Linked DNA regions of Nothobranchius furzeri. The main gene of each other region encodes a partner of the protein of the gene in region 7 in a complex. Links are inferred from orthologs where the notes say so. Each region holds a gene or a part of one and is shown on either strand. Other genes may lie near its edges.

Region 1 (4,668 bases), on a different chromosome or scaffold from region 7:
CAGCATTACATTACGACCACTGGCATGTTTGTCGAGAGCAGAAAACGACTAATGGTGCTGTGTGAGTTTATTTAGAGGTGTCTGGAAAAGCCGAGTTTAGTTTCATTTAGTGAAAAAACCTGAAATTCATGACTGATATGGTCAAAGTTTCATAGGAACCCGTTCCAGGTGACTCCATGTTTTCCCTACAGCTCAGTCAGATGCCAGCTTTAGGATCAATCACAGCATCATCCAGACTCCACCTTCCCATGTGACCTCCGTGAGAAGATAACTACAGTCAGAGCATCCATTTATCAGCCCCTCTAGTGTTCCTGTGTCGGTTTCTGACTGGTTGTTTTCCAAAAGGCGAGTCAGCTCAGAGTTCAGAGGTTGTGGCTGACTGCTCTAAATCCACGTGGAGGAGTTGGTGTGGCTCAGTCCGGCGTGGCAGAGTGGACGTGTGACGGTCCCACGTCGTAGCCCATCTTCTTCATGTCTTTACTCATGATGTGAAAGGAGACGGTTACAGAGCCTTGGGAACAAACTCTTGTCACTGAAACGGAAAAATATATATATGTTAAAAGTTTTATTCTAGAAAGGTAAAAGAAGAAAAAGCACCACTAACCTTCTCTGCCTTCACCCTGGGCCACGACCTTAGGGTCTGTGTACTCGGGCCGCCGCCCCAGCAGCCAGCTGAACAGAAATAGGATCTTTTAGCGTGTTTCTCTGAAACAGTTCACAGCTTCCTGAATAATTTGCATCCTTCACGAAGGCCGTGCTAATGGCTAGTCCCAGTTGCTGCTGTCCTAAAACGGCACAGGTCTGCTAAAGCTCACTGTGGTTCATCACATTCTTTACAAATGTAAACATCCCCAATAAACTAGCATTTCTGGTGCATCAGGGGTCAGGTCCTGCAGGAATTTATTCATATTTCTGCTAAAATGTCTATGTGATGAGAACCTGACAGCAGTGAAATGACCTCACATGGCGATCTATGACATTTAGAGGCCTGGATGTGGCTCATCAGTCCTCTAGGATGCACAGTCTGTTTCTCTGACCAGATAATTAGTAAGTTTTACACAAAACGCTCCTCAAAATGGCAAAAAACTCCATCAGATCTAATAATAATCACATTAATATTCAGTTTTCATGGTAAAAATGAAAAGAAAAACACTAAAAAGACTGAGAGCAACATCAAACAAGCCCGAGTGTGAATCTAAAGTATCCAAACGTGACAAAGATTAGTCAAAAATGAACCTTTAAAACGTGTGTTTGTGTTGGAAGCTTGCGTTCCACATGAGAGGAAGATGAAATATTTACTGTTCCTCTAAAGATCACGGGTTTCCAACAGCTAAGGAGACCGATCTCACCCTGTGAACTTCTGAAGTCTCCACGTGGGCTCGGGAACGAACATGGGGATGGATCTTTTATGTCTGACAAGTGAAAAACATTCAGATCTGTATCTTCAAACCGAAGTAACACATTCTGTATGCTTTTAGGTCAAACATGAAAGTAATACTGACTGTCCAGGTGTGAAGGGGATGTGCGTTGCTCCATAGCCTCTGACCACATCGTTACCAAACACATCTGGTCCGTACACACTCACCACCAGCTGAGGCCCTGGGGGACAAACGGCGTTAATCCTAAAGAGTCACACATGATGATGATGATGATGATGAAATTGTGATCTACTCACACCCAAAAGGATTTGTGCTCTTAAACGTCGTCTCCAGAGGAAAGTTCCAGACTAATCTCTGTGTCTGACTGTTTTTGCAGGTTATTTGAGTTATTCCTTCTTCCAGTCCCTGGAGAGTCACATTCGTTACAACACAACTCCATCCAGCCACCGCTGCATTAACTATCTATAAACCCTGTTCTGTATCCTTGAAAGTCACGTCTGACGTTATTGGGCAATACCATCGTCCGATATTGGCATTAAAATGTAACATCGTTGAGTTATCTTTTTTACTGTTTGAATGACACAACCTTTGCATAACATGCTCACATTATACATCAAACTCCTCAAACACATCAAAATATGGCTGATCTGAGGTTTCGTTTGTTACTGTCTGCATCTGTGTGGGTTCGTGTTCAAACGTAGTATTATCCGTAAAAAAAAGCATATTGAACATCTTTAACAATAAGGTTTATTGTTATGAACCCATCTGTAAACACAGCATCCACATATGTGGAAAAAGCCTTGAGATATCATTTTGTTTATATCTTACAAAATTGTATTATTACTCAAGGAAACGTAATTAATTATTTTTAATTTAGAGCTAAAAAAAATCCATTATCAGTTAGTATTTGCTTTAAATAATATATTTCTGAGGTCTTACAAATCCAGAACAGATAGATGAAAATTAAAAATGCACAATAAGTGCTCTCAGAACCCAAGACGTTTATTTTACATGAACGAAGAGTGGAAAAGAGACATCTTGCCCAATAGTGAGCCATATCTGATCACCCATATATTTCCTCTAGTTTCTATATTAAAACATTTCAGAAAGTTACATGTTTTTTACACTTTTGACGTCATGTGATAGTTATGTTTTTATAATATGCTAATAAATTGTTTATATAGCAGTCTGATCTGTGTAATACATACAGTCTAGTAGAAGTATACCGGCAAGAATCCGGCCAGTTTAGTCTCATTCTCACCCTTAATTCGTGCATAATAAACACTTAATGGCTTTAAAACGTTGAAAACATTAATAACATCACTATAATAAATGTATTAGTATTGTAAAGTGGTACCCAACAAGCATACTTCATGTTTCATCCTAAATGCTAATGGTTGTAATACTCACTGTGGTTGGAGCCCAGTCGTGGCCGTACACGTAACAATATTTGCAGTACAGATTGTCATGCTCTGGAAACTGAAATAAAAGACAAACATCACCATAAACAACCCGGAACATCCCGGATGAAGCACCAAACGAGCCATTGTTGCTAATGCTAACGCTAGCAGCTAAGCTAAAACTAGCTAAAAAGACGACTTACGTTCGCTCCCTCAATCTGCCCGTTCACCGTGAGGAGGAACACGCTCGGGTTGTTTGTTGCCATCGTGACTCCAGAGGTTCAAGAAAGTAAAAGTCTGTTAAATAAGTCGAGCTAATTTGGTCAGTCTGAAGCGATCCGAGGTTGTTGCTAAGGCAACGTTTACTCCTCCCTATGGCTACCGGTTTGGATAAAATTAAACGCAATTCTTATTGGTGATATTGGGCCATCACGTGTTAAAATTAATTTTAAATAGAGCAAAAAGTAATTCAAGAAATTCAGTCAAAATACTTATTTTTATAAACACCCGAAGTTTATTAAAAGGAGAAAAGAAGGCGGAGAAACAATATAAAAACTCTGGTTTAATTGTCTAGGCGTCCACTAGAGGGTAGCAAAATCAAATACACTGACTTTTAAAAATGCAGGTTCGTTCTCATTCACGACTGAAATCACTTCACGACCAAACATGTTTGAAAATCGTTTTTTAACCTTATTACCAGCCCTGAAAATGTTATTTCTCAACCATCGTTTTATTGTTTTGTAGGCCCAAAGGACTGCAATGTCTGTTCAACAATAACTGAAACAAAACAACATCCAAAACAAGAAGCCTAACTTAAAATTTCCAGCTAACTGGACACCTCCAGTGCTGTATATAAACATGGATGTCTGCTTTTCCTACTGCGCCACATGCTTGAAAATCAGAAATGAATGAAACCAAAAAATCTGCATTCCAAAGTATGTAAACCCCTCTGGCACGTGTGTCTAAATACTGTGTTTTGTTTCAGATGTGACAAAAACAGCTCTTTCTTTCAGCTGTTTCATACCCAGCAACCTTTTTTTTTTTGCTCTTCTCTCAGCTCTCTCCCACACAGTGCTTCCTGCTGTCTCCAGGGCCCACCCCAAGTCTTCTGACCTTTGCAGCTCCATAAACAGCAGCTCTTATTGCACCTGCTTCCTTTTATCTCCCATTTTGTCTGCCAAGCTCAGCACCTGTATCACTTTTTCACCTCCAGCTCTTTTTTGATCTTCGCGATCATATGGCAGGAACTCGATGCATTTAGAAATCTAGCCTAACCCTTTCTGACCACTTGGACCCATCTTCTGATGGCTACTTCCAGCAGGATCATGCACCATGTCACAAAGATTAGATAATCTCTAACTGGATCTGGAACATGACCATGGGTTCCAGTTACCAAATCTCAGTCTGGTCCAGAATCTTTGGGATGTGGTGGAATGGGAGATTCCCCTCATGGATGTAAAAGTGGGATGACATGGACCAGAATCTCTGAGGACGGGTTCCAACACCTTGTTGAATCTATGACAGGAAGACAGGGAAGGCAAGTTCTGAGAGCATAAGCCTAGAAAACTAGACAAACCAATGCGGTTCAAAAATATTTTACCCTGCAGGTCGGTCTACCCACACTCTGTGGCCTAAACAACTCTTGGTCAGGCCAATCAGTGATCCTTGTTTGGCTCAATTTAGTTCAGTTTACCAATACAGCGCCAAGAGTTGTCTCTGGGCACTTCACAAAGTAAACATTGCGATTAGGGATGGACAATATATCGGCATCAATATCAGTATCGGCCAATGTTAGTCATTTTTAACATATCAGTATCGGTTCGATAAATAAAAGCGAGCCGATATTAACAACCGATATTTTTTCCATCTCATCTCCATTTGTTTGCCTG
Region 2 (3,507 bases), on a different chromosome or scaffold from region 7:
AACACCAGAGTTTGCCAGATTGTCCATGTTCCATAGTCAAACTTTAAATGAGCTAAAATTCAATACTGTAAGATTTACCTTTAAATACACTTCAGATAAAAATATTAGACATATCTTCATACTTCTACTCTTTCTTGTGCACTCATCAATACATTTTTTATACATCTCGAGCTCACCCAGCATGTTCAAAGAAAGAATGAATGCACTCTCTGCTGTTCTTGTCCCATAGCTTTATAGTTCTATCATCACTGCAGGACACAATTAAACGATCATCTGGAGAAAACCTGGAGAAAAGCACATTAAAATTTTAAAATTAAACATTTGAGAGGAAAAGTGTAAAAAAAAAAGGTGAAAACTTGACATCACATATTAAATTTTTTAAACACTTGTACAACACTTTACTCATCATTACAAATATCACAGGGAAACTTGCATGGTGTGGTATTAAATGGGAGTGTGTGTGTTTCATACTTGGCACAGCGGACCCAGTTGATGTGCTGGTTAAGAGAGAAGAGGAACTTCTGCCTGTGGACCGTCCACACTTTGATTGTTTTGTCATTAGACGCTGTGACCAGGCTCTGTCCATCACCGGAGAAGTTAACACAACGCACAGTGGCAGTGTGAGCCCTGAATTCAGTTGAATCAGCCTTCCTGCAAACACAAAAGGTATTATTCATACATAAAGCAGACAAACACACTGTTTATTCAGGGCGCTGGTATGATGAAATTAGAGTAATCAGCAGATCTTGTTCTTTTGCCTTTAGGAATCCACAGCTTTGTCTTGAGTGATAATTTCTGGAGAAACTTGATGAGAAGAAAACAACATAAAATGCTGCTACGTATAAACTTACATGCTGGGCACCCAGAGACGTACAGTTTTGTCTCTAGAGGCCGAGGCCACAAGGTGACCAGATGGAGAAAACTGGACAGAGTTTACAGCTTCTCTGTGTCCATCGAAACGATAAGCTCTCATCTGAGGCTTCAAGTTCCAGATCATCACACAAGAATCCATAGAGCCTGTGACTGAGAAAGGAGGAAGCACAAGCTGGTTGAAGCAAGAGATTGGTATTAACTACAATGTGCACACAACAAACTGGATAACAGGTGAATATATAGACGGACAAAGGCTCAGATCAAATAATAATAATATTACCAATTTGTTTCATGTTGCGGCTGAAGTCCACACTTGTCACGACGTCCCTGTGACCCTTGAAATTTCTCTCTAGGGTTGGATCAGACTATGATGAAATCAACAGAGATTTTCAATTATTTTACAAGTTTATGTTTGGAAATTATTTTTTCATTTGTTTTATGACCACTTTTGTTATTAAATGATATTTTCTTCTTTTTTGTATTTTATGTTTTATTTTTTATGTAATTTTCATTGAAGAACTTCATGATTTTCTTTTCTACAATAGGTTCTATATAAATAAATTTTACTTTCTTTAGTTATCCATTGAGTTATATAAAAGTTGCAAGATGAACAGTCATCAGGAAAAGCAGGAGAAAGCATATCTAAATAAATAGCTTTTTAGAATTTATAACCTTAAAAAATAAAGCACCATTGAGATGTAAACAATACATTAAAAAGTACAGTGCACTTCATTTGCCATCTTGTTGAACTTGCGCTGTTAAATAGTTATTCGGAAAAAAGTAAACCAGCGGTTCTTGTATACCCTTTATTCAGTCTTTCAGGTATGATTGTAATTTATGTAACAGCTGCTTCACGTCATTAATTAAATTGGTTAAAATTCGTAATTAGTTTACTAAATTAAAGGTTAAGTAATATTTTTTTAGCAAGAAGATATAAAAATGTGTCTCATTTGCCTTCAAAAATAGAACCAGCCCTAGACAGGAAGTGCTGCCTGACAGACTCTGCTCAGGGAGTGCTGTATTAAGAGCACACTATGGCAGGCTGGGTTACCAAGGAGACGTGAGCTGCGTTTGTTGCTCTGTAGCCTTTGATAAAAGCGGGCTCCGTGTGTCGCATGTTCTGGTTAAAGCGGACAGCTGTGAAATGGCAGAGCTTCACATTATAGGACAGATCATCGGGGCCAGCGGGTTTCCTCAAAAAAGCCTATTTTGCAAATGGGAAGTTCATACGGGGGGAGCATGGCGTCTTCTCTCGGGGCTGAAGGAGGGTCAGACTCAGGTGGATTCCCCCCACAGCGGAGAAATGGCTTACTGGAGCCACCCAATTGATCTGCACTATGCGACCAAAGGTCTCCAGGGCTGGCCGAAGCTTCATCTGCAAGTGTGGCACCAGGACTCATTCGGCCGCTACCAGCTGTACGGATACGGGTACTGCCACGTTCCCTCCAGCCCCGGACATCACCGCATAAGCTGTGTGACATGGAGGCCGCTCGGCTCCTGGCAAGAGCAGCTAGCACGAATATTTGTCGGCGGAGGCCCCCAGCTCCGCAACCCGGATCTGATTTACAGTGGAGCGGACAGATACAGACTGCACACCGAGGCCATGGGCACTGTGAATCTGGAGCTGGGCGTCATCATAAGACACTTTGACAAACATGGCGTCGAGAGCTGAGACGTCAAATAAGAATGTTGTATTGATTGTTTTCTTATAAAAAGTTTGTTTTGTCGCAAATGCCTTTGAAAAATTACACACGGCAAAGTTTTGTACATTTCTATGCTGATGTTTTTACACCTGAAATACAGCTATAAATAAACACTTATCATTGAAGTTGGTTTCTTATTCATCTACCGTTTACCATCAATCCAACTATACCTAATATTTCATATTTGTAACGTTATGAATATTTGAACATGTGTGTGTGTGTGTGTGCGTTAACCAAAACAAGTAGTCTACTACAAATCAGACACGAACTTCCTCAGTTGCTACAGTAACAAGTGCTAGCCAAACTCACCAGTGCAGAAGTCATTTTTCCCGGTATTTAGCACGTACACCCGAGTAAAGAGGCTCGTTGCTGCTTTGGCTATTATGACCGAAATACAATTGTTCTCAACTGTGGGTTTTGAAATGAACAGAGGGAGGAAAATATCGCTCCGGTAATTGGAATTGTTTTTTCTAATGCTAGCTGCTAACAACAGAGTTCAGTTTACGCGCCGTGATTGGGCGCTGAGCTGTTGGCCAGAGTCCTTAAAGGGGACGCTGGACATTAAAGGACGTTTGTGTCGAAAAAAGACTTCAATCAAATGTAAAAACGATGAATAACAAAATAAGAAGTTCCGGATTGTACAAGCAGTTATTTTCTTTTGCACAACAAATCCAAATGACCAAGGGGCACACGAGTGTAGTAACCAAATATGACCACAAGATGTCAGTAGCGGTGCAGTGATGTTTTGGAACAAATGTTTTTTTTTTTTTTTTTGCATTGACGGGGAAAAAACATCCAAATTAAACAATTGGATGGTCTTTTTGCAGAAGTCAGTAGCTTAATTCTAAAATAACAAAATAGCCCAATACAGAAGTTACAGTATAAAATATTTTCTATGCACTCCTAAGAAATTGGAATATGCGGAGATACA
Region 3 (4,753 bases), on a different chromosome or scaffold from region 7:
GTATTTGTTGCGTATTTTGGCTGACTCCACACATCGGTGCTCTGAGGGAGGGACAGAAAACAAACAGGAAGTAGAGATTAAAAGGATGAGTGAGGCCTCTTGGGATTCTTCCTCTGCCATCTTAAAGCCAAGCCTTGTTCAACACAGAGAGCTCCCTGTGCACAGCAGACACTTTTCACACAAGATGCAGCACGCATAAAATGGATTATCAACTCTAACAACAATTTGTGATCAAATTAAGGCACTAGCTGCCTTTCACAGTGATTGTAATCATGATTGATGCCATTGTGTGCATTGATTTTAGGCAGGACATGCAGCAATGCAGAAAATGAGGCCCGGGGAGGGGAGGAGAGGTGATAGTTGATAAGGTGCAGGCTTTCATTAACCCAGATAAGAGGCCTACTTTGGATGTGTTTCTTTAAAAAGGTTATCCGGTGAGAGTTTCCACACAAAAGCTGAGTTACATAACAGAAATGGCTCCAATGAGATGTGAGTTCAGTTACTGTTAATGCGTTTGAAACAATCCTGACTTACATGTTCAAATTGTATTTTCATTAGGTCTCTTAGCCAATTAAAAAAATATAAGAATTTATTCTTGCTGGATTTGTTCTGACATTAGGTGTTTAGGTCAAACATTATCAAAAGGTGTAAACACACAGTGTAAAGACAGGAATCAGAGCAGATTCAGCTGATTTTGCTTTTAGGGCAACGATAAAGCGACCAAAAAGGGAAAATGGTTTCATGCAGCGAAATCGAATTACAGCAGTCGTGCAAATGGCAAAAAATAAAAGCATGCATTACTGCGTCTATGAGCGGTGGCATTGCTAAACGATGCGGGGACAGTAAAACAGAATAAGGTGGGATGACACGACAAGAGCATCTCTTGTTTCATAACAATCCAAACCCTTTTACCGAGGGAATGGTCCTCTTTAAACATCCATTTCATCTTTGCTGGATCCCCGCACTGAGGCGTGACGCGTAGAAGCTTCTAAATCTGCGGGTAATGTCGGCGAATTGTCCAAATATCCAGACAAACGCAATCAAAACAACGTCAAATTAGCCTTTCAGCTGTGCGTCTAGCGGAGAGGTGACGTCAACGTCTGACAGAGTGCTGCCTTCACGGGCTCTCCGGGAGAGTCGGTCTATCCGTGACTGAGTCCTCACACACATAAAACATAATGGTAAAGGCGCTTGTTTGTATTTCTGTTATTTTCTAAAGAACAGAATAACACATACAGTCAGAATGAGTAACATCATAAGAAAAATACCTAATAAATGATTTCCATAATCTCTAAAAAATGCCCCCAAGACAGTCTGTGTAAATAGTTTCTCTACACTATGTTCATCAAAATTAAAAAGAGTAGCAGACGCCTCATAAAATAGCAACATTTCCACATCTGGAAAAAAGGTTCCCGTACTCTCAAACGTTGCGTGAACGCAGTCTGGTCGTTGGCTGCCATGGTAACCGCCAGACGCCTAGCTAACATGGCGTGGGATCCCGCACCGATAATCACAGAGGCTAACAAAAATAGCATGTTAAACGCCAAATTTCGTGATGAATATGTCTTTATGGGGCTGCTTGACTCCACATTCAACTAGATGGACATTGCTTTATATGAGTTAAATATGTTTGTGAGCTTTTTCTCTTATTAGACCCGAGTTAGCATCCGCGTTAGCGGTTAGCGTTTAGCTAGCGGGTACTCATGGCTTTTTATGAAGTCTACTCTCACCCGGCCGTGGTTCGGTACAAAACCAGTGTTTGTACAACAGCTACCTTATTTCTGGTTGTTGTTTTATGCCTTACGTACATCCCACCGCTGCTGGTTGCATACAGGAGTCAAGGTACAGTAACGGTCACCAGAAAGCTTTTATTAACTGTTCATCGTGTCTCCTCAAATGTCCTACGATGTGTAAATCCTCAGTTACAGAGACAAGAAGTAATAACAAATGCTTAGGTTCACCAAAACCTCGGGTTTATGGAGGGAACAAGTCTTGTAAAGTTTATTGAAGGAAGGTTTACTGAATGTTTTTTATTATCTTATTATAATTTTGCCCTTTTTGTATTTGTTACCATCACAAAGATATTTAATCTGACCATCAAGTGACTGCAGAAAAACCAATCCCAGATTAAATTCACATAATGATAGAATAAAATAACAGGGATATTTACAGACCAACTTTTCATGCTTTTATACTGTGATGTGACTGAAAAAAAATACAAATAAAATATGCATTTATTGTGATTGATGAGTGAAAGTTTCGTAATTAACTTGGAGAATATTGCAGAAACCTGCAATAAAAAGCCTCAGTTTTGTGTTTGAAATTATTTCTTTTAAATAATGATAAACGAACCTCACGTGTACAGCACCTTTCAGAGTCGGAGGACTCCAAAGCTCTTTACACTACAGTGTTTCATTCATCCATTCACACACATTCACACGCTGATGAGCTACATTGTATCCACAGCTGCACTTGGCCTTCCGATTACTGGACAACCCGCTGTGCCTCTTGAGCTGCTGGTCCAATATTAGAGAGGCATCCATTCTGGTTTTTGAGATTGATACAGGTTTTCAGTTCTTGTACAGATCTGACCAGCAGGTGCTGAATATCTTATACTTTAGACAACCCCAACTTTTGCTAAATCATATGGAGAAACTCTGAAAAGCAGTTATGTTCAGCAACAAAGGCTGCAGAACTTTAGTTGATCATCTTTGAGCCAGAAACCTGCTTGTGCAGCTAAGTCTCATTCTCATTTTACACATACCTCTCAGTAGGTAATTTGCAGTTTTTTTTTTACCCTGAAGGTATTTAATTCTCCAAGTAGCTTTCTACAGATTCCCACTCTTAACCCTGTTGCAAAACAAAACTAATAAATCTGGAAAACTCATCTAATATTTACCAATCAGCATCCATTTTGGCTCATGTGATATTTAGACACTGCCAATAAACTAGTTCACTTATTGAAAACATACACAAATTTCTCTTAAAATTAAGAATTTTTTGCATTAAGATTTGAAAATGTGCTCCATAACTTGTGATTTTAGCACGACCAATAAAGCAACATGGCAACGTCAAGTTCTTGTCAATGTCTGGAAATCTCACTTGTGTTAATCCACCAGATTTTACAGGAAACGTTCCTGTTCACAAACTTAATATGGAAACAAAAACACATGGTTTACTCCGCAGATCACCTTAGCTTGTGAGATTTATAATCTCGACAACAACTCGAGAGCTTCTTTACAAAACCTTCAGTTGCTGAGATGATAAAGTTTTATAGCAGCAATAAAAATAAAAGAGTAACTTACCTGATAACAGTGCTTTCACACATTGTTTTACAGCATCTAGTCTAAATGACAGCTTTGTTTCTTTTTTTAACACACCACTGACTGTTTCCAATTGTCATTTACCTAAAAAAAACAACGTTTAAAATATTTGACCATGTTGAAAATGATTATTTTGGATGTCAAAGACATTTTCATGGAAGAGCTGTTATTGCCCGTGTGAATTAGCTTAGTGGACGTTCACGAGAAGATGAGGTGGAGAAAGGAGTTGAGTGGAACTGTATCTGACGCTCTGAGCAGATAGAGTTCACTGCTTTAGTTTCTTCTCATTTCAGGTTTCTGGATAAAACGAAGCATTTACGAAGAACAGCCGGTTGTGAGGTTCCAGTACGAGACTTTGCTGTTAGCAGCAACCAGTGCTCAAGGACATTATGTTGCCTGGAGCACTTTCCCTTTCCTTAACAACATGCTTGGGACCAACCTACGTATCCCCACTATCTCTGTAAGAAAACTCAACGTTCCTCTCCCTTAAGTTATTTCTGAATCACTGGTAAAATCTCTGCAGCTTTGATTTCATATTTTACACCTAAAAGGCTGAGACTGACTGCCAACCAGAGCAGGATGAATACTGTTGAAGTAAAAAACATGCTGGTGCTCAGCCAGCCAGCAGTGAGTCAGAACACAGAAAATTCACATAAAAGACTTAATAGGTGCTTAATATTTGTGAAAGTGAAAACATAAAGAAACCAGAAAAAGCTAAAACACATTTTTACTCTAAAGGAGGATCATTCATTTCCACGAGTCTCTTGTGCCTCTGCAAGATTGTCTTTTGTAATTATGTATTTTTGTTTTGTAAATGAAAATTGTGTTTTGTTTTCATAAAGGTGAGAGAGGAGGACCTGAACCAGGATGGGAAACTGGACCGTTTGAACCTGCAACTGCAGCTTCCGCTGAAACCTGATGAACAAGTTTACAGCATTCAGCTGCTGCTCACCTTCAGCTACCAGCTCTTTGTATGTATCCCACTCCAGTAGCCGTCTCACAAAGAGCTCTTTCCATGCAGAGGAAGAGGATTTTTATTTGTGTCCAACGTGCTTTGAAGAAATATTTCAGCCACTTCGTCTTTGCATTAAAGGGACATTATGGAAGTGTGACAGCCAAAACATGTATAGAAATAATAAATGTCTTCTTCATACATTCTCCTGCAATGCCCTGGTCCTGTAGAATGAGCCCTGGCATTTTTACTGTGATTGCCTGTTTTTATGTAAAATCACAGAAAAAGAGAGATGCTCGGGTCGAGCAGGCTGCTTCATGCGCGTTCACGCTCAGGCATCGCCCGTAGCGTTTGCTATCCGTAGCTTTAGCAGCAGAGAGAGAGGCAGTGCCACTTTGTCGCTGTTCCTAACGCCTAGTGACAAAGCTAGCTACATTTCTGAGGACCCTTAGCTACTTTCTGTAGAACTTTCTTCTAG
Region 4 (4,643 bases), on a different chromosome or scaffold from region 7:
TTGTTGGTCGTGACTTCAAATGGTGTTTTTCTCTTTGGGACTCTAGTAGTTTGTCCTAAAGTAGAAGTGGTAGCAGCCGGCTGTTTCTCCTTCTCTGATTTTAGTGGAGAACCTCTCACACCAGTGGTGTTCTGCTGCTAAATACGTGAGTGTGTGATGAACGGAGTACCCAGGGAAGTGTTTGGTTAAATAGCTGCTGGTGTTGGCGGTGGCTTTAACACAAATGCCAGAGAATCATTGAATGAATTTATTTCTTTTTTTAAATCTCCAGTTTAGCTTTACTACGTTAGAATGTTGTTAAGAGGCTAAAAGTTTTAGGCCAACTTGTTTTCCATATTTACTATAGAAGCTTTAACTTGGGTCTGACACAGCTTAGGAATACACAACTTGGGGTACATATGGGTTAGTTACTGGAGACCTGGTTGTTTTCAAGAGACTTGATACCACTCAGTCTGACGCAGTTGTTTTTTCACCCTCCTTGCATGCTGGTGGTGTTCAGGTGGAACTGGTGACTAGTGTGTACGGCAGACCCACCTCAGTCAGTTAGCCCCAGGGCAGCTGTGGCTACATTGTGACTCATCACCACCAGCATGTGAATGTGTGTGTGGATGAGTAAAAGACTGATGTATTGTAAAGTGCCTTGAGGGGTTTAAAGACTCTAGAAGGCACTATGCATACCATCTCCCATTTAGCTGTTACCTACAAGAGTATTTACAAATTAAAAAGTCTCGTTCACTTTTTTTTTTCAAGAAATGTGTTTTGGTCTCTATTATGACTGAATCCCTTTTTAGTCGTTTTCTGTACAAAAAATGCTCTGGTGTTGATTACAAGTCTTTCTCATTAATATTCATGATATGCCAACATCTAGCCTCTGATTGGCTTACAGCAATGTTAACAAAACCAAGAATACTATAAAATTGTTTTAAAGAACTATTATAGCTTTAAAATCTTCATAGTGTGTCCCTTTTAAATAAATGTGCTCATGGCGACAGACATGTTTTTTGTATTGGTATAACGCTGCATGTTTTTCTTAGCTTTTTAAACTACCGTAGTTTGTTGTTCATCTTTCCTGATTCAACAACGGTGAGCAGGATGCAATAGCGGTGAGTGACCGCTAGAGAGAGCTAAGTGAACATGAAACTGATTCCCACTTCACACTTGTTTCTCAATAATATGCAGCATTATTGAAAATGCAGCATTATTGAGAAAAGCATTTCACTGTATTAGGAGATTAAATTCTATCAAGTGTCATTAGTGACAAAAATATCTTTGTAGTTCTTAAGATATGTTTTTTTAAAAAGCATAATTTGTTTAAAACTATTAAAAGAGAATACATATTTGTTTGTCGTATCTCAAAAAGTTGTATTTAAAAACTTAAATTCTTATGAATAGATCGTTTTTCCTGCACATTTGTGTTCATATTTATTGTAATTGTGACTTGCTTACAACAAGGATCAGGCCATGAGGCAGCAGCAAAAGCAGAACATATCTTAGAACTTGATGAAAAGACACATAAAACAATTACAGACATAAAAAAACATTTTCGCATAAAAGTATAATCTACATGAAAAACACTGAGCTTTCCAGAAAAGATTAGCCTCCTTACAGGGTGAATCCATGTGGGGTCAAAGGTTATCCAACAGTCCCCGTCTACGGTTTCAACCTCTTCCACTGACAAAAAATGATTTCTATTCTATATTAATAACAATAATACATTTTGATATTTACGTCGATCCGTCGCTTTTATTTTGAAGACGTAAACATTGCTCTCGCGCGCACATCCGGTGTCCAAGAACGCTGCTCCAAACACAATTAGCGCGCTACTCGAGTTTAAAAACATTTTTGGAGTAGAATCTGCTTCTATTTTGATGAGGGTGTGACCGGGTTGCTTATTACTGTCGTGTTGTTCGGTGAAAAGATTAAGAATGGACGCAGGACACGCAAACGTGGGAAGTTTTTACCCTCTTTAGCTAGCCTTCATAGTGTTTTGTGATTTAAATACGTCAAATAATATCAATGCAATCCAGTCAAATGCTTTATTATTGTGTTAAGTTGTTCGTTTGAAGTGTTTATGTGATAATATTAATGTTGTACGCGATAATGCTCGAACTAATGTAAGTTCTTTGTATGTTCAGAGGGTCAGGGAGCTCCCTCCGCTAACACAGGTCAGTGACTCACACCCACGTACGCAGCCTCATCATTGTTTGTTCTCATATTATATGAATTACTTACTGCAGCCGCAGTGTCATAACAAACGGAGGGACCGCCGATCATACTAGCGTGCTCTTCCCCGGCTGCGCCATTCACACACTCACCACGTTTCCATGGCAACAGACGGTTAGATGATAGATGTTGTGTAAGAGAAGCATAACTCCAGTAACACCCACACAAATACTAAACGTCTAATGTAACGTTGGGACATATTTTAACTATGTTATTTTGCTACTGTAAGGAGTTTCAAAAATGTTTTTAAAGCTTTTTAAATCGTGAAAGCACGAACCGGAAGTCAGCTTTTACTTTGAAAGCAGCACCTCAGCTAGAAAGCGGAAGTACTGCAAATTTTATCGTAAAACGTTACAACGTAAAAGTAATGGTCCTTATTTGAGGAGTTTTAAAAGAAAATATGCTATTGGAAGATTTTAAATATTTTGTAAAATATCTTCATAACGGTGAAGAAATATTCAAAAACGTCTAAATCTTTATATTGTTATAGAAGTGTTTATTTTTATTACTAACATATTGCTTTGTCTAAAGAAGCACCTGCTTCATTGTGACTGCTGAGCATTAATAAATGTACACGATGGAAGTTAGAACTAGAAAGTCAGGTCATTTAAAAATGTTTCAGATAAGCAAAAAATGTAAATATCAGTCAAATATAACCTGGGTTAACATAAAACGAAGGAGTAGAAAGCTATCCAAAACAACTTTGCCCTATCTTTAAACACTTTTCCCCTTTTGTTAAATTAACCCCTTATCTATAAAGATAACTTCACTTCCCCTGTTGAAGAATTGTAGCATTAAGAAATCACTTCAATAGAATTTGTCTGATAGCATGAAGAAGGAAGGTTAAAAGACCTCAAAAAGCAACAAACCATGCCCCGTTCGTAAGGGATTCAGGAAAAAAGGAATCCAGAACGACATCTGAATCCCCTCAGGTCTGAGTACCATGACAAGCCCACTACTGACCAAGGATTTACCAACAACCACCATATAGCTTTATGAAACTTTGGAGCTCTTTGTTTATTATTTATATACTTAAATATGCAAGTGAGGCCTTTGAGTAGTTTACTGTTGTACCAGTATCATTAGAAAGATTAAACCAGATTCCACTGAATCCTTTCATTTTAAACTTCTCTGTAATAAACCACTTCACTGCTGCTTCATCTGACCTTTGACCCCAAGTAATCCTCAGTCCTGCCAGATTTAGCCGAGGATTTCAGAGTTGGGATGACGCGTGTTGCTTTGCTTCACTTTGACTCAGTTCTTAGTTGAAATAACCAGAACGACGACGGTAAGATTTTTGTCATCTTGCCTGTTTGATATGATCTTGTCACTAACGAGAGTCGGTGCTTTAAATACACTCATGCCGTGTGCTTGTCTGGTTTTGTAGGAGAGGATGTGACTGTTTGTAAAAATGGATTTACTGAAATGTCTTGCCACGGATCTGGTTTGTATTTGGCGATACCACTTCTGAAAATTCAGTTTCATTAGAGAAAATAACTGCTAGCTAGATGTTTTTTTTTTTTTGCCCTTTTCTGACCGACATGCCGTGTTTGACAGTTTCCAGTTAGATTTAATAGCACTTCATACTGAAAGGTAAACATGCATGTCTTTCATTTAACGTGTTGCCTTTAAATTCCATTAGTTTGCAATACATTACTCTAATGTTGTAACCAGCGGGGATCCAAAGGGAATATTTTTATTTTGAGGAAAGCACTTTGATTAGTGCTTTGCACACTCCTCAAAACTTAGTTTAGGCAGCATAATTATTCATTTTCACTTTTAAACAGGGGTCAGTGGCTGAGTTACAGCGGGCTAACATACTGTTAAAAAGAGAAATTACAAAGGCTAAACATGAATATAGAAGACAGCTGGAGAACAAAATGGCAGCAAATAAACTTGGTTCAGCATGGACTAGCATGAGAATTATTGCAGGACATGGCTCCGAGGCACAGTACACAACCATCTGTCTAGACCCGTTTAACACTGACAGGGAACTAGCTAATGCCCTGAACAGTTTTGATTGTCGGTATGACGCTCTGGATTTCAGCGGGGAACAGGGTGTCCTGAGGGAGAAATTTAAGGATAGTGACCATTTTAAAGTTGACATGGAGGACATAGGTAGGGCCATCAGGACAGTTAGAGTGGACAAGAGCCGAGGACCAGATGACATTTGTGGCCACTTACTTAAATTCTGTGCATACCAGCTGACACCTATACTGCACCACATTTTTAATGAATCTTTACGGTTACAAAAGTTCCCTGAACCGTGGAAGGATGCAGAAATTGTACCGATTCCTAAGGTGAGACATCCAGGTATTTTAAATGATTTCCGCCTTGTTGCTCTAACTTCCATTTTAATGAAAATCTTTGAAAAGCTGGTTAGATGCGAGCTTTTAAAGCAGACACAGCGACTGCTGGAC
Region 5 (4,704 bases), on a different chromosome or scaffold from region 7:
GTGTGTGTGTGTGTGACTGGTTTTTAGTTACCTGCATGGTATGTTCGCATCAGTTCTCTCCACCTGCTGCTTCTCTTCTCCAGTAAAGTAAGATGCAAGTAAAAAGCCTCCATTTTTGTGATTAAACACAAATACTCATCGTACACTTGAGTAAACTACTTTTTGCTGAGGGTGGGTGACTGAGGAGAACTTTGCTGAGCTACGGAACAACTGGTTCATTAGGATGAGCCCATTAAAGTTTAGTTTGTCGGTTAAGGGCTCCTTTCATCACCAGCTGCTGATGCTTGTAAGCTTCTTAGTGAACCAAAAACCTTTGGTGTTTCATTCACATCCAGCCCAAAACCCCTAAAAAGCGCTGTCGGCCAGTTCTCTCACCCCTGCATGTTCTCTCCCGCTCAGCCAATGGCAGAGGATCAGCTGGTGGTTAAAGACACCTGACAGGAAGCCACAGGTTTACACCTGACACCTGTAGGGGCTGAGTCTCACTAGATCTGGGCTTGATCCACTCTCTGTCAGAGGGCCTCCGGAGTTTGATGGAGGAGACGTCCAGCTGGAAACCCTCCTGGTGAGAGCAGGGAAAGAGCCAAACCCAGCAGCGGACAGTGGAGGAATAATAATAATAATAATAATAATAATAATAATAATAATAATAATATACATTAATTGATCCTCTTGGGTAAATTATTTCCCCACATTTGACCCCTCCCTCAGGGGCTGCATTGTGTATGGCTCCTGGGGGGCGACTTAAGGGTTCAGCATCTTGTCAAGAACGTTTCTGACGTGACCTTTAACCTGCTGGGATTGAACTGAATGGTCGGCTGCCCCCCCCCCCCCCACACACACACACACACATAGCCCTGGCCACGTACAAGTCAGAGGAGAAGACGAGATCTATTGTAATTCACCTTTAGTGGAACAAGTCAAACGCTGAAGGAGGCCAAAACCTGCAGTCTGTGTCTCCATCTAGTGGAGAAAACTATGAACAGAATGTAGAATGAAATACCCTGAATCCTTCCGATGGGTTAAAAAATAGAAAAGTACGTCATTATTACAAGTTATAGAACACGTTATTTCGAAAAACAGTTCTCGTTAAAACGTGATATAAATCACGTTTTAACGAGAAAGTTTCTAATTTTAACAAGAAAGGATCTCGTAATAACGAGAAACTTTCTCGTTTGAACGTGTTTTATATCGCGTAATAACGAGAACATTTCTCGTTATTACGCGATCCTGGTCCTGAGTTTTTTTTCCCTGCACTGACGGTAATACGCTTCCGTAGAAAAGTATGAATAAGTAATAATAAAATATCAAGTGAGGCAGAAATCCATTTTTAAATTATATTCACACATTCGCATACGTGGTGAAGGCTGTTATTACTTAAAATTTTTATTGACACAGGAACATATTTTTATTTTATTATTTCCGTATTTGTGTGAGGGAATTAAAAGAAGGTATAAAAACAGCTGATTTCCTGGTAACACGTGAAGCACGTGGAGCTGCTTTGTGTAGGAAGCAAAAGTGTCTGTTTTTAGTCTGTGAACGAATCCTTTCTGTGCGGTTCAGTTCGCTGGTGCTTTTCAACAGCAGTTCCACATATGAATGCTAGGCGGCGGTAAAACAGCTGTAATTAGAATCAATACCAACGAAGAAGAAAAAGAGTAGGAAGAAGTAGAAGAAGAACCATAGCAACGCTAAACAACATGGCGGTCTCGGCCGCTGTTTTCTCCATATTAAAGTCTCTCTGGTTGTTTCTCTCGATTACTTCTGTCGCTTCGAACCAAAGTACAACTAACGGCGCGTTTAACACGACTGAGCCGAACTTTAGTCACACCGTTACGGATAATTACACAGAGTTCGAGTCCACACCGAGCCCCGGCGGAACGGAGAATTCCCCCGTAGCCGCCGAGCCGCTGCCTGTCTCGGGCCATCTGCTGTCTGCCAAGACCAGCGGTAACCGTCCACGCTTCCTCTGCTACTGTGACAGGGTCCCCACGCTGCGGTTTAATGTGTGTGTGTGTCCGTCCATCAGCTGACAGCCTGTGTCCCTGTGATGAGGTCCTGGGTGTGTGTGACACCAACTGCTGCTGTGACCCAGAGTGTGGAGGGGAGGTGGTTCTGTTCACCAGCTGTTCGCTCGGTTCTGTGAGGAGGTTAGTGGACTGGCTGGGTTCCACCTAGAACGGCTCCTCTGCTCTGCTTGGTTCATGTTGCTGGAAGGTCCCTGCTGCTCTGGTTGGGAACAGGTGTGGCGCTCAGCTACATCACACAGTGGTGGTGATTAAGGAGCCACATGGAGCAGAAGAACCTAAATAGGCTCTGAGACCTGATAATTACATCTCTTCCTATTGAATGTTGCTGTGTGTTCTTATTAAGCTACACAAAAGCTGCCTGACTTGTCTCTGCAACTCTGCAGTGGCAGCCAGCAGCTGTGTAACCAGGAGGCAGCATACTACACTCTAAGGACCAACGTGAATGGCTACTCAGAGCTGCAGTCAGCGGTCCAGAAGGAGGACAACGCCAACATCTTCTGCATCCGATCACAGAATCGTAAGACACCAGAATTCCTTAGGAAGAACCAGTTAAGCTGTTTGAATTTAGTCAGTTTGACCGCGTCCACCTAGGCCCACTTGATCCCATTAAGGGTGATGGGGACTTGGCTCCCATCTTCAGCTGTTATTAAGTGAGAGGTGGTGACGCACCTGGACAGGTGACCAGTCCCCTAATTAAATTGTTATTTAATAACTTTAATTTTAGCACTGCGCAGTGTGTGTCGGGTCTCTAGATGACTGATAGAAAACATCAACTGAGAAAAGCTCTCACACTCAGCTATGTGTAAATAAAGAATCAATCAGGACGTATAAACTAAGTTAAAACCTAAACAGTAAACCATGATTAAAACCAGATTAAAGTTCTCTAGTTTGTTTTACTTCCAGGTTTATTTTTCTAAAAGGGGTTTGTCTCACCTGCTGTGTGATATTCCTCTCCGTAGGTATTGATGGATTGTCCCATCCCTCTCCAGCTCTTCCAACTGATACCAACTTTGACCTGCTCTTTAAACTGTTTGCTCCTTTTCTGTGGAGGATGGAAAACTCAGATCAGGCAGCCCCGGCAGGAGTCCAGGACTCACGTGGATACCAAGTGAGTCTTGGGCCCAATCCCAATACTCGCCCTCGTGCCCTTCAATTGCACGATCCCGACCACGGCTGCGAGTGCGTAGGGTGTCTCGATTCTCAAATGCATAAGCTGATCATGCCCCTTTTGCACCCATGATCCACACTTCACTCAAGTCTGCAGCGATGCAGACTTGAGTGAAGTATATTACCCACAATCCATTGCTGCAGGAGAAAGGGCTCAAGTTCCATATCCGAAAATATGTATTTTCTAATGAAAGTAGTTAATTTTAGAACAATTAGTTGATGCTCTGAAACTTTAAGACAAAGCAGCGAAGAATGCCAATTTATTTCAAATAATTGTTTGGTTGTTTGTTTGAAAGTTTTTAATAAATGTTTTTAAACAAAGTATCACAGCAACCAGCATCCCGGCATACGCAATGCTCCCTGTCTCAATTCTGTAATTATTTGCACACTTGTGTACTACGCACTCGAAGCCTTCCAGCGCACTTTCTCCAAATGCACTTGGCTGAAGACCACAGGGAGAGTATTGAGATTGGGCCTTAGTTGGACGGAACAAGTATTAATGGGTCCAGTGTCGTAAAAATTAGTTATGAAAAACAATCCTGCATATGCAATTCAATGTATACGTTTAAAAACTGCTTATGATAGTGCTAAATATGATCATTAAAGCAAAAACAAGAAAGAGAAACTAAAAATGTCAAATCAGAATCAAAGATGTCCTTTTCCATGCTGTTTGGTTTGAGAGTGATTTGGTGGTAGTTGAAGTCAGAGGTCAAACTTTTAGGTGCCATGGACCACAGGCATACGTAGACCCCCCGTGGGCTGGTGCTGCCTATTGGAGCTACTGTAGTGGCTGGCCGCCATCTTGGATGGGTCTCCATTCGCCCCCAGTGCATTTATTTCTACTGAGGAAGGCGTTTAGCTAACTAAAGAACACATTTAATTATGTTTTTCACAAAATCAGACACATGATATTGCATGGCAGTTCTAATATAAATATAATTACATAAAATAAATTAAAATACAATCATGGCTTTTGCAGCCGTCATTCTGCGTTGACTCTAGTTGGATTTGGAGAGCAAAGAGACCCAACCAATATGGCGGCGAAGCTGTTACGCTCTCCAGCACATAATGAGGTGTCTACATATTCGTGTCTACGCCAGGGGCGAATGATCTAGTGTGTTAATGGTTCGTGATCGTAGTGATTGCTACAGTGTGACGACTGTTACATCGTGTTCATTGTTACAGTACGTTCACAGTTCTACTGGGATTACTGTCACGGGGTCCGCAATTTCTTCTACCCCTAAGAAGCTACGGTGTTATTGTTATTTAACTGTTATCGGCTAGAAGCTAACATTAAGTTAACGATGCTAAAGTTAAAGTCCCACAGGGAGCCTAAGTCTCCTCCCTTTCCGGTCGGCTCGTGAGTCCCCAGAAGAACAAATTATGAATGCAAGTCAACGGGGCTAAATGAGTTATTTTCTAATCTGCTGTGCCTTACGCCCTCGATCACTCTTGTGTTGTACTTATATTTGAATCAAAAGTAACGATGGGTGTTTTGAACACGCCA
Region 6 (4,244 bases), on a different chromosome or scaffold from region 7:
AGATGTAAGTGACCCGTCAACGTTTGTTTTTATTAAATTGAACAATTTTGTTTTCATGTGCAGATTAATGAAGTCAAGCAGACATAATGAGAGCATTACAACAACTTTTTTGTTTCCAGCTGTATGCGAGGCACAAGGAGTACCTCAGTAGTCTTGTTGGACAGGACTTTGAAATGGTAAGATAGTTATTAGACAACAAATCCCTAAATCTCCCAACATTACACTGTATATTAAAGCAGCAGGATTTACCAGATCTACAAACCTGTAAGGACAAACAGCTGGAAATAAAGTTAAAGTCCCTTAGTCATCATCACACACTGGTGAAACGTATCTCTGCGTCTGACCCATCCCCGTGGTGAGCAGTGAGCTGCAGCTGTGGCTGCGCTCAGGAGCTATTTTATGGGTTAACCCCCCAGCCCAACCCCTTAAAGCTGAGTGTCAAGCGGGAAGGGTTAAAGTCCCACTTTTTAAGTCTTTGGTACGACCCGACCGGGTTTGAACCCCGATGTCCAAGGGCGGACCCTCTACCACTAGGCCTCTGAGCTGGTAACTGATTAAAGTGCATTAGATGAACCAGTGGGAACGTTTGTTTCTTTGCAAACATTTTTCGCTAACCAGATGTTTGTTGTCCAGCCCGCTGTTGGTACGCTACGTTACCTGATGGATGGAGAGATCGGTGAGGAGGACGGCTGTGATCGCTATCTTTTTAGATTACCCATCAACTTTCAAACTACCACTCTCTCTTTTCCCTCTTTTTCTCTTTAGTCTCGGCTAAAGGATTTGAGTATGATAACTTACACGTCCACTTCGTCCTGGATCTTCCCAATAGTGAGTAACAAGCCGTCTGTGATACTCATTTGTGATATTTAGTTTTAGTGAGATCTTAGTAAACTTTTTTGTTTTAGATTGGTCCAGCTCAATGCCCCAGTTTCTGTCAGGGGTTACCCAGACTTGTCGAACCAAATCACTGGGGAAGGTGTGTGTTTGACGTAAGAAACTGGTTACTTGCTTCAGAACATGAACACTGACACACGTTGATCTCTGCCAACAGGAAAATGTGGCTTTCTTCAGTTACCCCTTCAACTTTGAGATTTTTTACAAGAGTGAGAAAGAGAGTGAAGGTCAGCGTGAGCCTTTTCATTTTGAAATGATGTGATTTAAAAGTCTAAATTTAAGTGTTTTCACTTTTTTTAATTTCAGAGCTAATTCCCCAGTGGCCAGTGCTTTACTTCAAAGTTCTTTCTCTTGACCTGTGGGGGCGCTATCGTATTGAAGGCTATGGTTATCTGCTTTTTCCAGCTATTCCTGGTATGCTGCTGCATCTATAAGACTCATTGACTAATTTACTTCTTTATTATTTAGATGATTTTAGATTCACATTACTGTTATTTTTAATTGTCTTTAAAAGTGTTATTTTATTTTAGTCCAGGGATGTCCACCCTTGTTCCTCAAGAAACCCTACCTAGCACGTTTTAGTTGTTTCCCTGCTCCAAAGTACCAGATTAAATGGTTTGATCAGCCTTCTAATCCCCTGCTGATTGAAATCAGTAGTGCTGAAGCAGGGAAACCTCTAAAACATGTAGGACGATGGCCCTCCAAGACCAGGATTCGACACCCCTGACTGAGTTTTATCTACTGAACATTCAAAAACAAAATTTAAAGATATTCAGATAATTCACCAAAGATTGTACTACAAATGAATTCATACCAACAATTTCAAATATGCAAGATTTTTAACTTCACATGGTTCAGAAAAGTTAATAATAATTCCTCTGCATGCTCCATCATTCATCTCCATCATATATTCTGTTTCTGGTGCATCCCAGGTAAGCACACCATGACCTGTCACACATGGCGACCTCTTCAGATGGGGACGGTCTCTGCATTGAGGCGCTTTTTTATCGGAGGTTCTGCAGAGATTGAAGATCACAGCTATGTCAGAATACCAGGGACCTTCAAGGTGCACTCACAGCTAAGCTAATTCCAGGTTTTGAACCTTTGCATAAATTTTCTCCTGAAGGTTTAATGGGTGAAACATGATGTTTTAAAAATATACATTGTGGTAGTTGTAGCATTATTTCGTTATCACCAAGTTAACTGTGTATACCTGAGCAAGCAAGTAAATTAATGCATTATTATGATTCTTAATCTGGTACAATGGTGTCTGGTTTCAGGGAGACAGGCTGAGTCGCTTGGGCTTCTGCAGTCTAACCTCAGGAAGTGTCACATTTAATCTGAACTGCATCCAACAAGCCAGGTAAAGACCAGTTTAATCAACAAGCAGCTGTTTCTGATTTTCTCCCTGACAGCTTAACAGTTTATATGGAATGAATAAAACATCAGAAGTGAGATTTACTCTCTGCACTGCATGCAAAACACTATTTCTTAATGCAAATGCAAGTGTTCCATTTACAAATTTCACAAAGATCTGTATTATTAATGCAAATTGTTTCATCTTTACTTTTAAAAAGTGTTTACTGTTCGCTTCTGGTTGTTTCAGGGCCTTTGTTGACGCTGCCATTCAGAAAAAGAGGAGGCAGAAAGTCATCGACCAGCTGGGAGGATTTAGTCAGCAGGGAGATGTTTGCAATGTTCTGGGTAAACATACTCACACAGTATTTGCATCAGGGTTTAAAAGACTTTCACTTCCTGTTTGCTGCTGAGTGTATCCTTGTTTGTGTGAGCTGTGAGTTCTGTGTGTGTGGTTAAGTGAAAAAGTTTACTGTAATCAGGCTCTGAATGTTCCACCATTTATTATTTTTACCATGAAATGATTTTATGATAGCGGGAGTGAAAATTAGCATAATGCCACCAGTTAGCCTCTGTCAGCGAGCGTCAGGGCAGCTGTGGCTACATCGTAGCTCATCACCATCAGTGTGTAAATGTGTGTGTGAATGGATGAATGATACACTGTAGTGTACAGCGCTTTGGAGTCCTTACTCTGAGAGGCGCTATACAATTATGGGTCATTTATCATTTAGATTCTCGTTATTTCAAACCACTGGAAGATGGATTTGTTAGGACACTCACAAAATGTTATGGACTGTATACCAAGCCTTGCATTGCAGCTTGATTGCCCAAAGTAGACAAAAATGTAGAAAGAACAGGGAATTTTTCTGCAGGGTTAATTTAATTTGTATTTTCTGTTTGTTTGTTTTATTTCCCTTCAGAGGCCTTTCAAAGAGCATACAAAAAGCTACAAGAGGCCAGAGAAACGTTCCCACAAAAAGCCATCAACTCTACTTCCCAACTCGAGCTGGAATTTTCTGCATAAAAACCAAAAACACACTAAAACTGACATTTCAAGATGCATTTAGGATCCTGCACAAGCTTCCAAAACTGAAAAGTTTGTCTCAAGTCATCTTCTGTTCTTCTCAGACTGTAACTGACATTTTATTGACAAATGTTATTAACTTAAAAAATCATCAGAAACGATTTATTACACCAACATTAGGAGATGGAGCATAACACTTGTCTAATAAATGTACTATAATACCAGCAGTTTTTTTTTACAAAATTCAAGGTACTGTTTTCTTTTATTATTTATTTTACTGTTTATTTTTCTTATCTGAAATAAAGGTTAACTAAATAAAAATTAAATATGCAATGAAGTGGTATATTTTCCCCATTTTTAAAACAAAACAAATGGACTGAAACCCGCATTATCTGACTGCGGGTTGTCCTCCAACGTAGCATTCGTTTTAGCTCCAAAGGGAAGTAGTCCAATTTTCCATGACTGTAAACGCACCATTCTCCATCTTCCTCCAACCAGGGAAAGGACCGTTCAGCGATTTTCCCTCTCAGTTTCACACACGACCAGGTACTTAAGTACACATATTTCACGTTAATTTTGCAATCGTGTAATTTTTTGATGTGTAAATTGTGTGTCTTAGTCAATGTATGGCTGCTTTAGCGTATCTCTAGTAGGCATGTAGCGATGGGAACTGGGCCGCTGGTCGCTTTTCTCTTTTTTGTGTCAGATTTAGCCTAATGCTCAAACGAAAACTGAAATCGGTTTTCTGAAACTAAAACCCTGGTGGTTATTTAGATTCACTGTTTGGGGCTGTTTACTGCGGAATGAGTGTTGATGCTTTTTTTCGTACATAGCCGTTAAGCTAACCAATGTTAGCTAAGGGGAATTATGTATTAAGTTGATGTTTCTGGATTAAAAGTGTCACGCCCTGAAACAGTGAACTGTCTCGACTAGTGCCTGTGGGATTATCGTAAATATTTAATAGAGGTGT
Region 7 (4,113 bases):
ATTAGAAGTGAAAATGACCAGCTCTAACAAAAAGACAGACACAGTTCAGGTATCAGGCTCAAAAGCACGGTTACATTGTCCTGTTGGTCTCTGTGGGAGAGGTCTGTCTGTGGACCTGTCTCTCCTCCTGCTTCTGCTCCATCCTGAAGGATCTGCTGGCTGGGACGAAGCTACAGGCTCTCCGGGCTTCTTCATCTTCTTTTTCCTTCTAGTTCTGTAAAAAAAAAAAAAAAGATATATATATCTTCACAACCAGCATTCCATTTGTTTTGATGTGAGTTTCTGTGTAAAACTATAGAAATAATTACTTTCTTGCCCACTGTATATACAGCTTCCTGAACAGCCTCACTTTAGAAAAATAGAGATCAATTTCCACATGACTGATGAGATAACAGTCAGACCAAAGCTTAAAGGTGTGGAACACTGAAAAACATGTTTAAAATCTTATTTCTGATTATAAACGGTCACTCTGAGTTTTTCATGCAGGCTGAACATGACAATAGTCTCCTACACCTATCCTCCTGCATTAGCTTCTGATAGAAAATAAACAGTGAAACTCTAGGAATGTTACTTAACATTCATGGACTCACCCATCCTGATTCGTGACAGGGAAGGCTGTTGTTGGTTTAGCATCCAGGAAACAGCAGAGCATATCTCGGCTAGTTGAAGTTAACAGTTAGCATTAGCAGCTCCACCACACACCAGAACTCCTCCATGCTTGCATTATTTGTGGAGATAAAACATCCATGTTGCAAGTCAATGGTAGAGTCTCGTTGCTGGCATCAATCCGAGGTGAGAAATATCAGGAAATAAAAAGACTCCAAATCCTCTGAGCTCTGAAGCTCAGCTGTGATGTGGCTCACATCTAGTTCCTGAAAATGGTGCACCAGAGCTTTGTTTCCCCAGAGTACAACTTACAAGGCATTCATTCCTACTAGAGACCACAGCAAATGGACTGATTAGTGTTCCACACCTTTAAAACAGTTCCATTCTCCAAAATATGAGTTATCTTTAAATATCATTTTATAAACCTAAAAATTTGAACCATGTTCACATTATACTGTTGTTTTAGGACAACTAATAAGATATTTTTTGCCAGACTTGACCCCCAGATGAACCAGGAAATGCTACATTTGCTCCTATATATTTTTTTTTTTATCTGTACTGAAACTATTCAAACGAGGCTGTTTAGCTTTAGATTCACCGTCCAGGTTGTGTTCCCGGTTCTAGTAGTTAGATATGTGAAGTGGTGGAGGTTTTTAGTTATTTACAAGCTTGAATATCAGGAATTCACTTTGATCTTGACTGGATCAGACTAGTCGTTAGCCCATCAGTCCTGTTGGATGAATTTTTATGAACAAAAGTTGTTCAGCAATGATTAGGTTATTTGTTATTTTCCGCAGAAAAACACTTCAGAATGACCAACGCATTCATTTAATCATGTTTCTTAACCAGTTTTCCTAAAAGGAGCAAAAACATCAACCCTCACATGCTGCCGTAATCATGCATCATGAATATAAAAGGGAGCCTCTTACTTAACGTTGGTCAGCCCAGGTTCGGTGTCCGAAAAAGTTGGCTCAGAGAGAAACCTAAGCTCCCCAGAGGAACTAACCGCAGCAGATACCTTGAAATGTGAGCATGAAAACTTAAGAACCAGAGAGACAGGAAACACCAAACAGATACCCGACAGACAGAATCCCATCATGCATCTTAACAAGGCATAGGTTAACATGACGCTCCTCTGCAGGGTGCAGCTCCCATTTAGGCCTGCAGGGGAGAACTTCATGTAAAACAACCCAAAGAAGAAACTGATTTAAATCTGTTTTCCTACCCTGTTTGGGGTTGACCTCTCAACGGTCTTCTCAGGTGACATGTGCCTCTCAGCAGACTCTTCCATAAATTCACCTTCAACAACAACACAGAAGAAAAGAGTTCAAATGCATCTAAATATATATATATGTGTGTGTGTGTGTGTGTGTGTGTGTGTGTGTGTGTGTGTGTGTGTGTGTGTGTGTGTGTGTGTGTGTGTGTGTGTGTGTGTGTGTGTGTGTGTGTGTGTGTGTGTGTGTGTGTGTGTGTGTGTGTGTGTGTGTAATCTACATGTACTTACGCTGATCTACTACATAAGAAGCAAGGAAATATCCCTGCAGTCCATTGACCAGGCGCCCAAACCACCAGGTGTCGTTATCTTTGTAGAGCACTTGGATGACATCACCGCGCCGAATGGTCAGTTCATCAGAGCGATTAGCTGTGTAATCGTAGAGGGAAACGACCTGAGAGAGAAACACAAAGATGCAACAAGAATGCAAACACACATGCTTCTGAGATCAGTGTCACAGTGGAGACTCACTACTTGCTGAACTGGAACCAAATCCGTCTCCAGGTGATTCCCCGAATGGTCACGAAGGCTCTGTTCCAGACAAAACACCACTTAACCTTCTGATGAAGTCTTTAAATTGGAATTATATGCTAGACTCAGTGGAGGATGGATTATTAAAGGGGCTTGCAATGAAAAAAATAATAAAGTGTTCCAAACCTTACCGACTGTTGCCTAAAAGCTGAAGCTCCTCTGAGACTGACTGAACTAAACCCTCCTGGAATTACACAACAAAACAACAAAAAGCAAAGTTCCTCACAGATTTCTTCTGCTTTTGCTTCTTTGTCACACTTAAATGTTTCAGATAAGCTAAAAAATTTCAGCAAATATCTACATCAAAGAAAAACAAAGTCGCCCAAAGCAACCTGGTTCTGACCCCCAAACCTAACATCTGGTTTAACTCCTGAAGGCAACAACAGCCGTCAGGTGTTAGTGATGACCGGTGAGGCGTCTCACATCGCTGAGGAGGAGTTTTGCCCCGCTTTACTTTTAATTCAGCCACATTGGAGGGTTTAGAACGTGTTGCTTTTTGAAATTGCCTACTTCACTTGTTGATTTCTCACCTAAAGCTTTAGCAGTAATCAGGCTGGGTGAAACTTAGCGTTTCCACATAAAACCAGGTTGCTTGACCATTGTCCCCTTATTGCTGAAATCACTCTCTTGCTCTAAAAAACTCTAAGCTTCACAGCTTTGATCAAATCTTGAAGTTACATCATGCAGGAGTTTGAGCAGCGATAATCTCTGGAAACATTTGACCTCGTCTCCCAGCTCCAGAAACTCCCTTCATTGTTCCAGCACAAATAACTGATTATCTGGACGAGACACTCACGGGTTTGTGTACTCAGGGCTGCTTGCGGGATTAGCTGTTCTGCAAAAGAACCAGAGAGCTGCAGCTTGGAGTGCGGTGACAGCAGAGACGGAGGTGGCAGAGAGACATTTAATCCCATCTGAGGAAGAGCAAAAACTTTCATTTACACCTTCTAATGCAACGTCTACTGATAATACACAACAGAAGGCTTAAACGTTTTAACTCTGAAAGAAATGTGGAGACAAACAGCCTTCATTAACTTTAATATGACTCACAGTAACCTTGTGAGTCTGTGTGGTGTTTGGGGTCTGTAACCGTATAATCACCGTGCTAGTGTCTGGTGGAAAGCTCTTCCCCATATGACTGATGCCCATTTTGTCTGCAAATAAAGAGAACAAGACTAAATACTCTGCATGTAAACAAACAAACTCATCTGAGATGCTCTCATACAGACCGTGATCCGAAAGAAATCCAGAAGCTGAAGATCGGCGATGTGGTTCCTACAAATGGTGTCAAAATATGAGCCCCGTTTAAATAACTAAATGATATTTTGTGAGTTAAAGAAGATTTACCAGAACTGAATCCAGCCGCCGTTTAACAGACTGCATTTTCATGGCGAGTCGTGCTGCATGAGCAAACTGGTCCATGGCCGAAGGAGCAGAAGTGTCCTGCAGCAGCAGCAGAGAGTCGGGCGTGTTTCTGAGCGTTCGGTCTGCAGACGCCGATGTGCTCGCTGCTTTAATGTTCTGCATCTCCAGCTGGGAAACTAAATGATAAAACATGTTTAGCAAAGTGTACGAAAAGCAAAAAACAACAAAAATCATCAAAGACGACACAAACCTTTGCGATCGTACAGGTACACGAGCACAGGCTGGCTCTGACCGTACGCGCAGAACGCCACCATGTTCTCATGAGGGTGGAAAGAGAC

Evidence for each region.
Region 1: ahi1 (region 7) and b9d1 share a complex: the UniProt entries of both Homo sapiens proteins name them as parts of the tectonic-like complex. The link is inferred for Nothobranchius furzeri from reciprocal best matches to the Homo sapiens genes AHI1 and B9D1.
Region 2: ahi1 (region 7) and b9d2 share a complex: the UniProt entries of both Homo sapiens proteins name them as parts of the tectonic-like complex. The link is inferred for Nothobranchius furzeri from reciprocal best matches to the Homo sapiens genes AHI1 and B9D2.
Region 3: ahi1 (region 7) and tmem231 share a complex: the UniProt entries of both Homo sapiens proteins name them as parts of the tectonic-like complex. The link is inferred for Nothobranchius furzeri from reciprocal best matches to the Homo sapiens genes AHI1 and TMEM231.
Region 4: ahi1 (region 7) and transmembrane protein 237B share a complex: the UniProt entries of both Homo sapiens proteins name them as parts of the tectonic-like complex. The link is inferred for Nothobranchius furzeri from reciprocal best matches to the Homo sapiens genes AHI1 and TMEM237.
Region 5: ahi1 (region 7) and tectonic-1 share a complex: the UniProt entries of both Homo sapiens proteins name them as parts of the tectonic-like complex. The link is inferred for Nothobranchius furzeri from reciprocal best matches to the Homo sapiens genes AHI1 and TCTN1.
Region 6: ahi1 (region 7) and mks1 share a complex: the UniProt entries of both Homo sapiens proteins name them as parts of the tectonic-like complex. The link is inferred for Nothobranchius furzeri from reciprocal best matches to the Homo sapiens genes AHI1 and MKS1.

What each region holds. Positions count from the first base shown.
Region 1 is NC_091752.1:49,447,860-49,452,527, reverse strand, and holds the start of b9d1 (B9 domain-containing protein 1), read right to left. Parts: upstream 3,235-4,668; 5' UTR 3,046-3,234; coding exon 2,983-3,045; intron 2,859-2,982; coding exon 2,790-2,858; intron 1,785-2,789; coding exon 1,676-1,784; intron 1,600-1,675; coding exon 1,503-1,599; intron 1,413-1,502; coding exon 1,350-1,412; intron 673-1,349; coding exon 605-672; intron 533-604; coding exon 414-532; 3' UTR 1-413. UniProt on the Homo sapiens protein: Component of the tectonic-like complex, a complex localized at the transition zone of primary cilia and acting as a barrier that prevents diffusion of transmembrane proteins between the cilia and plasma membranes.
Region 2 is NC_091743.1:62,502,861-62,506,367, reverse strand, and holds b9d2 (B9 domain-containing protein 2), read left to right. Parts: upstream 1-1,579; 5' UTR 1,580-2,017; coding exon 2,018-2,545; 3' UTR 2,546-2,701; downstream 2,702-3,507. Other genes in the region: poc1a (POC1 centriolar protein homolog A), read right to left, coding at 177-284, 472-651, 852-1,023, 1,154-1,238, 2,886-2,900. UniProt on the Homo sapiens protein: Component of the tectonic-like complex, a complex localized at the transition zone of primary cilia and acting as a barrier that prevents diffusion of transmembrane proteins between the cilia and plasma membranes.
Region 3 is NC_091744.1:86,200,658-86,205,410, forward strand, and holds the start of tmem231 (transmembrane protein 231), read left to right. Parts: upstream 1-1,470; 5' UTR 1,471-1,703; coding exon 1,704-1,842; intron 1,843-3,616; coding exon 3,617-3,783; intron 3,784-4,165; coding exon 4,166-4,294; intron 4,295-4,753. Other genes in the region: gabarapl2 (gamma-aminobutyric acid receptor-associated protein-like 2), read right to left, coding at 1-41, 913-946. UniProt on the Homo sapiens protein: Transmembrane component of the tectonic-like complex, a complex localized at the transition zone of primary cilia and acting as a barrier that prevents diffusion of transmembrane proteins between the cilia and plasma membranes.
Region 4 is NC_091742.1:64,222,149-64,226,791, reverse strand, and holds the start of transmembrane protein 237B, read left to right. Parts: upstream 1-1,741; 5' UTR 1,742-1,925; coding exon 1,926-1,949; intron 1,950-2,135; coding exon 2,136-2,165; intron 2,166-4,643. UniProt on the Homo sapiens protein: Component of the transition zone in primary cilia. Required for ciliogenesis.
Region 5 is NC_091741.1:109,995,060-109,999,763, forward strand, and holds the start of tectonic-1, read left to right. Parts: upstream 1-1,520; 5' UTR 1,521-1,700; coding exon 1,701-1,950; intron 1,951-2,029; coding exon 2,030-2,150; intron 2,151-2,413; coding exon 2,414-2,547; intron 2,548-2,989; coding exon 2,990-3,138; intron 3,139-4,704. UniProt on the Homo sapiens protein: Component of the tectonic-like complex, a complex localized at the transition zone of primary cilia and acting as a barrier that prevents diffusion of transmembrane proteins between the cilia and plasma membranes.
Region 6 is NC_091750.1:66,889,457-66,893,700, forward strand, and holds the end of mks1 (tectonic-like complex member MKS1), read left to right. Parts: coding exon 1-4; intron 5-119; coding exon 120-176; intron 177-633; coding exon 634-676; intron 677-765; coding exon 766-828; intron 829-905; coding exon 906-976; intron 977-1,051; coding exon 1,052-1,121; intron 1,122-1,200; coding exon 1,201-1,308; intron 1,309-1,826; coding exon 1,827-1,960; intron 1,961-2,174; coding exon 2,175-2,257; intron 2,258-2,500; coding exon 2,501-2,598; intron 2,599-3,170; coding exon 3,171-3,274; 3' UTR 3,275-3,607; downstream 3,608-4,244. UniProt on the Homo sapiens protein: Component of the tectonic-like complex, a complex localized at the transition zone of primary cilia and acting as a barrier that prevents diffusion of transmembrane proteins between the cilia and plasma membranes.
Region 7 is NC_091758.1:20,128,441-20,132,553, reverse strand, and holds part of ahi1 (jouberin), read right to left. Parts: coding exon 4,026-4,113; intron 3,952-4,025; coding exon 3,758-3,951; intron 3,686-3,757; coding exon 3,640-3,685; intron 3,565-3,639; coding exon 3,461-3,564; intron 3,325-3,460; coding exon 3,207-3,324; intron 2,595-3,206; coding exon 2,542-2,594; intron 2,411-2,541; coding exon 2,351-2,410; intron 2,274-2,350; coding exon 2,111-2,273; intron 1,906-2,110; coding exon 1,832-1,905; intron 1,625-1,831; coding exon 1,536-1,624; intron 718-1,535; coding exon of another isoform or gene 660-717; exon of another isoform or gene 525-659; intron 215-524; coding exon 46-214; 3' UTR 1-45. UniProt on the Homo sapiens protein: Involved in vesicle trafficking and required for ciliogenesis, formation of primary non-motile cilium, and recruitment of RAB8A to the basal body of primary cilium.